3 linked regions of the Rattus norvegicus genome follow. The main gene of each other region encodes a partner of the protein of the gene in region 2 in a complex. Links are inferred from orthologs where the notes say so. Each region holds a gene or a part of one and is shown on either strand. Other genes may lie near its edges.

Evidence for each region. Proteins that work in one complex are often made in the same cells at the same time.
Region 1: Flcn (region 2) and Fnip1 share a complex: the UniProt entries of both Homo sapiens proteins name them as parts of the lysosomal folliculin complex. The link is inferred for Rattus norvegicus from reciprocal best matches to the Homo sapiens genes FLCN and FNIP1.
Region 3: Flcn (region 2) and Lamtor3 share a complex: the UniProt entries of both Homo sapiens proteins name them as parts of the lysosomal folliculin complex. The link is inferred for Rattus norvegicus from reciprocal best matches to the Homo sapiens genes FLCN and LAMTOR3.

The regions. Positions count from the first base shown.
Region 1 is NC_086028.1:39,123,863-39,127,646, reverse strand, and holds part of Fnip1 (folliculin-interacting protein 1), read right to left. Parts: intron 3,631-3,784; coding exon 3,495-3,630; intron 1,225-3,494; coding exon 1,023-1,224; intron 1-1,022. UniProt on the Homo sapiens protein: Binding partner of the GTPase-activating protein FLCN: involved in the cellular response to amino acid availability by regulating the non-canonical mTORC1 signaling cascade controlling the MiT/TFE factors TFEB and TFE3.
Region 2 is NC_086028.1:45,090,092-45,093,875, forward strand, and holds part of Flcn (folliculin), read right to left. Parts: intron 2,199-3,784; coding exon 2,085-2,198; intron 1,559-2,084; coding exon 1,435-1,558; intron 640-1,434; coding exon 508-639; intron 426-507; coding exon 320-425; intron 1-319. UniProt on the Homo sapiens protein: Multi-functional protein, involved in both the cellular response to amino acid availability and in the regulation of glycolysis.
Region 3 is NC_086020.1:229,091,289-229,095,072, reverse strand, and holds part of Lamtor3 (ragulator complex protein LAMTOR3), read right to left. Parts: intron 3,331-3,784; coding exon 3,272-3,330; intron 1,539-3,271; coding exon 1,405-1,538; intron 1,018-1,404; coding exon 954-1,017; coding exon of another isoform or gene 694-953; exon of another isoform or gene 1-693. UniProt on the Homo sapiens protein: As part of the Ragulator complex it is involved in amino acid sensing and activation of mTORC1, a signaling complex promoting cell growth in response to growth factors, energy levels, and amino acids.

The DNA.
Region 1 (3,784 bases), about 6.0 Mb from region 2:
TGTAGGAAGGTCAAGTTGTTAAAACATGAAAACACTTATAGTAACCTTTAATTCTTAACACTGCCCACCAAACTTTATACTCAATGTAAAGTTCTTTTCTAAGTAGGTGATGCCCACTGCAACCCTGCACCTGAGAAGTAAAGACAGGACTGAGCACCAGACCAGCCTGGGCTATAGAGTGAGACTAATCTCAACCAAACCAAACCAAACCAATGCAAAAGATCCAATCCCAAACTACAACACTATAAGAAGTTTTTCAAGTCACTCAAAATGTTTCAGATACAAGAACTACAAGTCTATCAACTTTGATGTTAATAATCTACACAAAAGGAGAGCAGCCAACTTAAAAAATATATATGACCAATGTTAAACTTGAAAAACTTAGACAGTATTAATTCATTTGTGCAGCAAAATTATCTATTTTTAATTGGTTTAATGTAAGCAAACATCTGTGTCTTCCCTACAGCAGAAAAATCCCCAGTTACTACTGAGTTTCTGTGGAACATTCCAAATGATTTCCTTGCCCCATCTTTAAATCTCTTTTAAATAGATCCTACCTGTTGAAGTGTCTGATGGCTCAGACATTCCGCTCTCTTCTTCCTATCTAATAAATCAGCTCCATGCCTTTACTACCTTACATACGTTAATGCTCTTTCTCTTAACTCTATGGAAGATAAAGGAAAATAAGAACACTGCTCTGCTTCACCTCAGAGCACTGCCTAGCACCTCAAATGCATATGTATTCACCATCCCACCTACTCCCTGCTAGCTTAGGAACTCAGGAGTGCCTGTGCACTATCCTCCAGTTTCCTACAGCCTCTTATGAATCAACTGTCTTAGGCCTTTGACTAAAACAGTCAACTCCTTTAACAACACTGCATCTGTTTGCAGCTCTTGGAGCAGGTTGTACAGTAAGTTCAAGACACCTATCAAAGTTTTCCAAATGAATAAACGTAACTCTTATTAAAAGGAACAAAATGCAAAGTAAAAGATAGAAATAAAATACAAAGGACCACACTTACCTGTTCTATTGCACTCTTTAATTTGTTCATGTGGCTTTCAAAGAGAGGAAAATGTGAAAAAAAGAATTCATTGAATTTGTTATTTTCATCTTCATCTTTGGATAATGAAAAGATTACCCCAATTGCAATCTTCTTTTTCCTCACAATTCCTGGGTTAGGGCCACAACTTTCATCTGACAGATTAAAGCTTTCTTCTATAGACCTTAAAAATAAATGTTTTTGTTTAAAACATCAATAGTTTATCTCCCTGCTAATTCAATGTAGGTGAGCAAAAGCTCTTCTGTTGTTTCATCAAATTAAATATAAATTTACAATGTTTAACAATTGTTACCTCTCCAAAAAAAATCTATTTTTCATTTTTTTAAAGAGTTTACCAGAATCAAGTTGGAAATGGTTAAGAATCTTGCTTCTTACTAGAAGTCTTAAAGAAGCAGATAACTCCAGTTCAAAAAGTAAGCTAAAAGTATCTGATGAAAGTAAAAGAAAGTAAGTAAAATAAATGAGGAAACATTAAGTTTCTAAATCTACAGTTGTACTTTAGCACAAGCTAAAAAAAAAAAAAATCTTGAGACTGAGCAAGCTGCCTAAATAGAATCATGAAAAATTAAAGCACTAAAATATGTGGGGCAAGAACAAAGTGCTTAAACCCAGAACTCTCTGAAGAAAGCAAAGAGCTTCAACGTACTAACTTTGGCCATGATTTCTCTGATAGAACAGAAAAGTCACCAGCAACAGCACAGAAACAAATGCTACAAAAAAACAACTGTATTCAAGTACATGAGCAGCAGCAGGAGACAAACACAATCCACAGAATGGCAGGAAATATGTGCAAACCATGTATCTAGTAAAGAACAAATAATCCAAATATTCAAAGATGTCTCCTAACTTCTCAACAGCAACAATAAAACAAACAGCAAAGGGTTGAATATTTACTCCTCTAACGATGATGTATGAATGACCAAAAAGCATTTGTGAATCACTTCTGTTTCATTGGGATGAAAATTACTAAGGAGTGGGACTGAGAATGGAACTCAGTGGTAGAGTACAACTCGGAGGTATAACGCCTCGCATACAGGAGGTTATGGAGGTATAACGTCTCACATACAGGTGGTTATGGGCTTCCATACACATGACTAAAACAGAACTAAAGCAGAAAATAATGTGTTGGTGAACATACAAAGATTTCAGGACTGTCTTTACATTGCTGTTACGAATGTGAAATCATACAGTCACTGTATGGCAGTTCCTTAAAAATAGACTAACTATACAACTCAGTAAGTCCACTTCTGGGCATATACCCGTAAGGATATAAGGCATAGACTGAAACTAATGTTTATAACCCATGTTCATAGCAGTGCTGTTCACAACTGCTAAAAAGAAGAAACATCTATGTATTCTTGAACAAATAGAGAAAGGGTATACTGCTGTGCATACACGGACGCATATGCACACGTGTGCGTGCACGTATGTAGGTATGTATGTACAGGTCAGAGGTTGACACTGGGTATATTCCTAATGATTCGCCACCTTATTTTCTGAGATGACGTCTGTTCACTGAACCTGGAGCTCATCAATTCAGCTAAATGTTCTGGCCAGCAAGCTTCAGGAATCCTTCTGCTTCTGCTTGCCCAGTGCTGGGATAAGAGGTGCACCTGGATTTTTACATGGGTAATGTGCTGGGGATCTGAACACAAATTCTCATGCTTACGCAGCAAGCGATTTACTGAAAGTGCCATCCCTCCAACCCCCAAATGTACTTCTAGTGTAATGTTATTTGGCTACAAATATAATTTTCTTATATATGCTACACCACAGGTGAACTTCAAAGGCATACTGAACAAAAAAAGCCAGATATAGAAGGGTAAGTACTTCATGATTCCACTTATGCAAGGTATTTATAAGTTTATGGAGATAAAAAATAGTAGCGCTGGGGTGATAGTTCAGCCATTGTGAACACTTATGCTTTCCCAGAGGACTCAAGTTTAGTTCTCAGCATCCATGTTAGGCAGCTCAAAACTGCCTCTTTTCTGTGTGCCCTGACACATGTGCACACACCTATGTCTACACATGATCCAAGGATTTTCCTCTGCCTTCCATGGGTACCCGTACACAAGTGGCATACATTCTCATAGACATCTAGACAAACTAAAAAATTTTACACTACAAACGTTTAGAATTAGCATACTGATTACAAAGGGCAAATGAAGAGTAGGGAGTTACTGTGTAATAACTTCAGGGCTTCAGTTTGGGAAGATGAAAAAGTTCAGGACTTAAGGAGTAGTGATGGTGTGAAGGCATTTAGTGTCACCGAACCATATGGTAAAAATGATTAAAACAGAAAATTGTTTTTAATCTGTCTTGCTACAATTAAAAAAGTAATAAAATTTTAAGTTTCCAATTACAGACTTCGAATACACAAAATACAAGTCTCAAACTCTAAAAACTAGTCAATCTTTTTCAATCTCAACTTACCATCTAGGAAATACCCCATTTTCCAAACTTGTTGTTTGGCTACGTCGCCAACGTCGCTGGTAGCTGCTGGCACAGCTTCGGGTGAGTGAGGAGTTTGGGGAGGGAAATGGGGTGATGAGCAGGCTGCTCAGAGATGCTGTTACGGCAGAAGAGCAAATGTAACTATTAGTCAAGGAGTAAGCATGGTGGCAAGTTTCTATTTAACAGGTTGAACAGAGTAAACTAAATATTTTATTTTGTTTCATGAATGTGCCTCATCTTTCCATTTTAAAGTGTACTTGGAGGAAATT
Region 2 (3,784 bases):
CTCTCTCTCTCTCTCTCTCTTTCTCTCTATGTATGTGTGTGTGTGTGTGTGTGTGTGTGTGTGTGCACACGCGCATGTGTAAAGCAGGTTGGCCTCGAACTCAGATATCCATATGCTTGGCCTCCTGAGTCCTAGGATTAAAGGCAGACGCCACCACCGCCTGATACTTGGCCTCTGCTTGCACATCCTGCTTCTGCTTTTTGGCATGAAAGTGCACTGCCATGGTGAGCTGCCCCACCCCTCCACATCCCCACCCTCACCCCCCACCCCCACCCCCACCCCCAGCCCGGGAAGCTGTCAAGGCAAGGCTGGGGCTTACTTCATCCACTCCTCCTTGAGACAGACGAGGCACTGGTCCACCACATCCACAGACAGGTTCTGGTTGGTCAGAGCTGCCTCCATTTTATTCAGGATGGTGGGCCCAACTGGAGATACAAACACCAGACGATGCAGAGGCCTCGGTGACCCCTCCCCTCCCCGATGAAGGGAGACAGCAGCAGCACCCACCTCTGTCTGCAGCCACAGGGCTACCGCTGGTCACCACAAACTCATACTTGCTGAGGGACTGGTCGTCCTCACATCCAGCCGGGTGCGGGTTTGAGCGAGTGGCTGTGTGTACCTCCACGACAACTACGAACTCTGTAGCAACAAAACACGTGCTAGCTTGTAAAGTGTCCCTTGACCCCACTGCAAGACCCCCAGACTCAAACCTCAGGGACAAGCCTCCTCTGAGAAAGGGCTTAATGCCTTTTGCAGTTGATTCATTAATTGAATTCTTGCCTCAGTTAAATTAGAACTAACTGGTACATTACACTGAACATACATGACTCAGGTAAATTCATTCTAAGCAGCCTCAGTGGATGGTTTCACTATTATTCTATCCTGTAGACTGGTGGTTCTCAACCTGGTGGTTGCAACCCTCTTGGGGTCGAACAACCCTTTCACAGGGGTCACCTAAGACCACTGGAAAACAGAGATATTTATATTACAACTCATAACAGTAGCAAAATTACAGTTGTAACAACAAAAGCAATTTAATGGTTGGGGTCACCACAACATGAGGAACCGCATTAAAGGGTCACAGCTTTAGGGAGATTGAGAACCAATGCTGTATATGGAAACTGCCTTGAGGGTTCAGTGGCCACACACACACACACACACACACACACACACACACACACACACACACACACACACACACACACGGCTAGTGGTATAAGAACTTTACAGCCAAACATCTCTGCACAGACTGGTCCTACTGCAAACAGAGGGCACTGCTGCTCCAGGCTTGGGGCAACCCCAGTGCATCCCAGCTGGAGCGGCAGAGCACAGCCTTGCCCTAAAATCTATGACTTGGATCCAGGGGCACCCCTGGGCTGGATACAGGAGTCTTTCAGAGCAGTGGGCAGTACGTGTCTCACAGAGGGCACTCACCAGAGGCCAGGACATGAGCAGGGATAGGCACCGGAGGGCTGAGCCCTAGGAAGTTGCAGCGATAGGCCTCCTCATACTGGCTGCTGTAAGGGATGATTCGCACACAGCCTACAGGCAGCATGGTCTGTGGACAACAAGGTGCTCAGAATTCACCACAAATGCACCCTCTGCAGCTGGTCCACAGCCTCCCTCCTCAGTGTGTCCATAGTCTCTCAGCCCATGTGTAGTCTCCCGCCCAGATGCCCCCAATTCTGGTCCTGGGGGGCAGTCATAGATCAACGCTGACATGTGCTGCCTCCTCTGGGTCTCCTTGCCCATTCAGATGCTCATTGCATGGAGAAGCACTTGAGGGTTCTGGCAGCCAGCAGACATGCTGTGAGATGATCCTACACCACCACCCAACTTGAGAACAGCCATGTAGCATCAGCAAGTGCCAGTTCTTGCTCAGATAACTTCTCAGAAGAGTTTCAGGTTGAGAAAGGGAGACAGTGTAGCCGTCAACAGTGACAATACAGGATCCTTCCATGGGAGCATCAATGACCGCCATTTTTACCAGGCAAGGAAAACCAATTTTTCCGAGGCTCTGAGCTGGTGGTACCCCTAATAGTCTGTCCCAAGTCAAGCATTAGCATACAGGGGAAGGTTCTCACCCGGAGGACTTCAAATGCGGAATGGACAAGGTTCACATCTCTGCTTTTCCAGATCACCTGATTACCCATGAGGACATGCCAGGCCAACATTCGGAAAGATGGGGCTCCCAAGACCTGAAACACAGCACATAGTTCTTTAGGCATATTATAGGAACTAATCTAGCCCCACGTACTCAGACAATCTCTTCACAGTAAAGAAGCTCACGGTCAGCAAAGAGAAAGTTAATTCTCTTTCTAGGGATTCTGGTGGCCTGCTAGAGGCTGACAGGGGACAGAAGTCACCAGACTCCAAAGGTATTTCATTTTTAATATAACTCCCAACCCCGTACACTATGAAAAGTATGAAGCAAGCCAGGCGGGCAGTGGTGGTGTGTGCCTTTAATTCCAGCACTGGAGGCAGAGGCAGGCAGATCTCTGTGAGTTTGAGGTCAGCCTGGTGTCTACTTTTTGCAGCCCTCGCCCTCTCTAACACGCTGTCACGCTGGAGGGCTTGGAAGTGAACAACCAGCTCATCACTCCATCCCCAGGAAGAGGGCTCTGCCTCCACCACCAGGATGCACCCACATCCTGGTACTTGCCCAAGTCAGCTGCAACAGCCTTCTTTATAGCTGCAGTTCCTCAGAGGGGGAGGCTATCACAGGATCTGCCTGGCAGTAACTCCTGCAGCACTTACGGCTAGGAGGTAGTCATTGTTTTTTGAGGCCAAACATGAGGTTGAAACAAAACAAAAACTACAAAAAGAGGCTACAATATGTACTTTACAAACCCCAATGCCTCTGAGTACTCCCATGTGCAGCGGGAAGCACAATTCCTGCTCTGTTAACCTTGGGAAGGAACAGCAAAGTGAGCCCAGCTCAACACTGGAGAACAAAGGTCTCCCACCCTGCAATCCTGTCTCCCACCCTGCAATCCTGTCTCCCACCCTGAAATCCGGTCTCCCACCCTGCAATCCTGTCTCCCACCCTGCAATCCTGTCTCCCACCCTGCAATCCTGTCTCCCACCCTGCAATCCTGTCTCCCACCCTGAAATCCTGTCTCCCACCCTGAAATCCTGTCTCCCACCCTGAAATCCTGTCTCCCACCCTGAAATCCTGTCTCCCACCCTGAAATTCTTGTCTCCCACCCTGAAATCCTGTCTCCCACCCTGAAATCCTGTCTCCCACCCTGAAATCCTGTCTCCCACCCTGAAATCCTGTCTCCCACCCTGAAATCCTTGTCTCCCACCCTGAAATCCTTGTCTCCCACCCTGAAATCCTTGTCTCCCACCCTGAAATCCTTGTCTCCCACCCTGAAATCCTGTCTCCCACCCTGAAATCCTGTCTCCCACCCTGAAATCCTTGTCTCCCACCCTGAAATCCCAGGGCTCAATCCATTTGCCTGGGCATCAAATTTAGGTCTTTATGGTCGCCAGCACCTTTACCCCTGGGGGTCATCTCACTAGACTCCCCAGCCTCCAAAACAGAAATCATTCCTGGCTGGTCAAATAATACTAATTGGAAAAAAAAAAAAATAAAGACGTTGAGAGAGACGGCTTAGCAGGTTGGGAGAGGATTTTCCGTGTGAGATGGGTGTCCGGACAGAACCCACATAAAGCAGGAAGGACAGATGCCCCGAAATCGGCCTCTGGGCTCCACGTGTGCACTGCGGCATCCATGTGTACCTCCACACACGGTAGTAATAGTAAATAAAATTTAAAAATT
Region 3 (3,784 bases), on a different chromosome or scaffold from region 2:
ATCTGGGTTCTTTCCAGTTTCTGGCTATTATAAATAAGGCTGCTATGAACATAGTGGAGCATGTGTCTTTGTTGTATGTTGGAGCATCTTTTGGGTATATGCCCAGGAGAGGTAAAGCTGGGTCCTCAGGTAGTGCAATGTCCAATTTTCTGAGGAACCTCCAAACTGATTTCTGGAGTGGTTGTACCAGTTTGCAATCCCACCAACAATGGAGGAGTGTTCCTCTTTCTCCACATCCTCGCCAGAATCTGCTGTCACCTGAGTTTTTGATCTTAGCCATTCTCACTGGTGTGAGGTGAAATCTCAGGGTTGTTTTGATTTGCATTTCCCTTATGACTAAAGATGTTGAACATTTCTTTAGGTGTTTCTCAGCCATTCGGCATTCCTCAGCTGTGAATTCTTTGTTTAGCTCTGTACCCCATTTTTAATAGGGTTATTTGATTCTCTGAAGTCTAACGTCTTGAGTTCTTTATATATATTGGATATTAGCCCTCTATCAGATGTAGGATTGGTAAAGATCTTTTCCCAATCTGTTGGTTGCCGTTTTGTCCCAATGACAGTGTCCTTTGCCTTACAGAAGCTTTGCAGTTTTATGAGGTCCCATTTGTGGACTCGAATTAAGTTATTCTTACAGCACTCCACATGTGTTCTGTTCAGCTTATGTTCTGTAGCCCTTCCTTTTTGCAGGCTGTTTCAGTGTGAGTCACAAACAACACAGGAAACGCAACACTGAGTCGACGAGTTCCTGCGGCAAAAACTCCCCCGTCCTGCCTCCCCTCGAGTGTACCTGAAAACAACCCTGGAGAGGGACAAGGCCCCGGAAGGAGGCAGATGTGGGAACTGTGCTGAGGCACAGATGCAGGTCTCTCCCTCTGTCAGTCCTAATCTGTCACACTGCACAGGCACAGTGCTATAAAGAATTACAGTCTGCATCTGTGGCCCTTCTAACGTACCTGTGTTGGCATTGCTGCTGGCTATAAAACTCACCACCAGAGGCAAACGATTGAATTGAACCACCTGAAAAGAGAGATTGAAATAGCAATGTTGCACGTACACAAATGGAAACAGCTGGTCACTGAGCTTTCAAAGCAAGTGCTTTGTACCTGTCACAGCAGCAGCTGTGGAAGAATCTCAGCTATGCAAGCTAACGGCACCATCTACTGGAGTCAATGATCTGACACATACTTTAACACTGCATAACAAGCTCTTTATTTTTAAAGTTTTAAGTACTTTTCCATAATAATTATTCCCTTTCTAAAAAAGATTAGTTTAGGCTAAATATTAAAAATTCTATCCCCCTCGTACTAAAATTTAGATCTATGCTAAAAACAATTTATACCAAAGGTGTAAAAATGGTTGGTGAAACCAGCCAAGTGTTCAGTGCTCCAAACCGAGTATACAGACCTGGTAGGTATTATAGTAGCAGATGATGCTTTTATTTTTTGAAAGTCCGAGCTTGCTGCCTTGGTCTGTTGCGAGGGCGAAAGTGGACAAGAAGCCAGGCCTCAGGGCATGTTCTGGAGCACTGTCGTTAGCCACTGGGATGAGCGAGTAAACAAACGTTATGCAGAGTAGGATGGGAAGAGCTGACAGCAAGTTCTAAAGCACACAGACCAGTAAAAGCCTAGACACAACAGAACATTTACCATTTGAAAACCCTACATTTACCATGTTGATAACTGGGTCTCAGGTCTGGGGCCATAAATAGCTGAAGGAAAAAATGCTGACTTACATGTAACAAAATGAATATTCTGGTCATCTGAGACTATAACTAATCACTATACTATACTAATCTATACTATACTATACTAATCTATACTATACTATACTAATCTATACTATACTATTCTATACTATACCATACTATACTAATCTATACTATACTATTCTATACTATACCATACTATACTAATCTATACTATACTATACTAATCTATACTATACTATTCTATACTATACCATACTATACTAATCTATACTATACTATACTAATCTATACCATACTATACTAATCTATACTATACTATACTAATCTATACTATACTATTCTAATCTATACTATACTATTCTATACTATACCATACTATACTAATCTATACCATACTATACTAATCTATACTATACTATTCTAATCTATATATACTATACTAATCTATACTATACTATACTATACTATACTACTACACTGTAGACAGAAGAAAATGGAAAAAGCTAGAAAGTCTTCCTACAGCCCAAGAGCTGGCTGCCATCTTCATGTTCCTGTCACTCACTAAGGCCAGACTAGTATTAGCTGCATCAGCTAAGTATGGAGTTTCAGTGGTTCACAGAGATTCTGTGAAAGAACAAAAGGGCCGCAGAATCACCTGAGCCCTCTTTATAGGGGTGAGAAGGGAAAGGCGGCCTGCCCACAGCTGCCCACGCTGTGTGGTGGGTGGCACGGAGTCAATGGACTCTATCATGTCTTGTCACCAACTCAGTGCTCAGCTCTGGGCAGGCAGCGTCCCCTCTGCACCTGACCCATATGCTAATGGATGAAGTGGAAGAACTAAGCCAGGTGACCTCTAAAGCACACTTCCCTCCTCATGCCTAAAACTGCCTGACATGTTTGTCCTGATGTGGAAAAGAGACTGTAAACAATGCGTAAGATGCAATCTCATCTTTAATCTTTGGTAAGGGAAATTAGCCAAGTCCACTTTGATCATGCCAGAAGAAACGAGTTCACACTATCTGTTACAGCGAATGTGTGCTCAAAAAAGCCGAGAACAGACCAAACCATGTTGGGGGGATCTGGGGTGGTCGTGAACATGATCAAAACACACTGTGTGCATGCACAGAATTCTCAAGGATTTATGCAGATGTATTTTTAAAAACGTCTCGGATTCTGATCAATGTAAATAATGATGACATTAAAGTTTTAAGAAATATATTTGTAGTAAAGACCGGCAAGATTAAAAACCACCAGTGTGAGCCAGTGCCCTGGTTAGGGGTTGGCTGCCTGCCTGCCTTGCACACCCAGTTTCCACCCTAAAGCTATGCTTAGGCTTGTGCTGTGCCATAGCATCTCAATGGGAAGCACGCAGAGTGGTCCAGACGTTACGCGGACCACTTCACTATGGGTCCCAGACCGAGGTCCCAGCAGACAAAATACGTACTTCCTCAAACCACTAAAGTGGTTTTCCCAGTTTGTTGCAATAAACTCCGCATATTTTTACTTATTTAAATACAAAACATTCCTGTCAAAAGTAAATGTGCAGGAAGCAGTCAGTGTTACCTTTAATAACAGGCACCCCATCTCTATCTGACACAACGATTGCATGGAGCCCTTCAACGCTACAAGAAAACAAAGGTCAGTATTACAAAGTCATTCTGATTTCTAGGCATATGTATCTCAGGCTCATGGTGGTACTTCTCAAGCATACATATACATACACATACACATACATACATACATATATATATACATACATACATACATACATACATACATACATATATATTTCTGTTTTCCCTCCTGTGGCACTAAAGACTGAACCAGGGAGTTGCGCACTCTAGGAAGGGCACTACTACCAAGCTAAGTCCCCTGCCCTGTTTCATGCGTGTTTCTGAAAAACATGTGTGTGTGCATGCATACCTACTTGCTAAACCATGCTCCCAGGTGTGTTTATGGACACTTTTCTAGAAATTCAATGAGTGTGCTCTGCCCTACTGAAATGGTGAGGATATTTGGTATGCATGTTAATTATTGAAGAGTTTATGTTTTATCACTCCTTGGTTTATAGAAGCA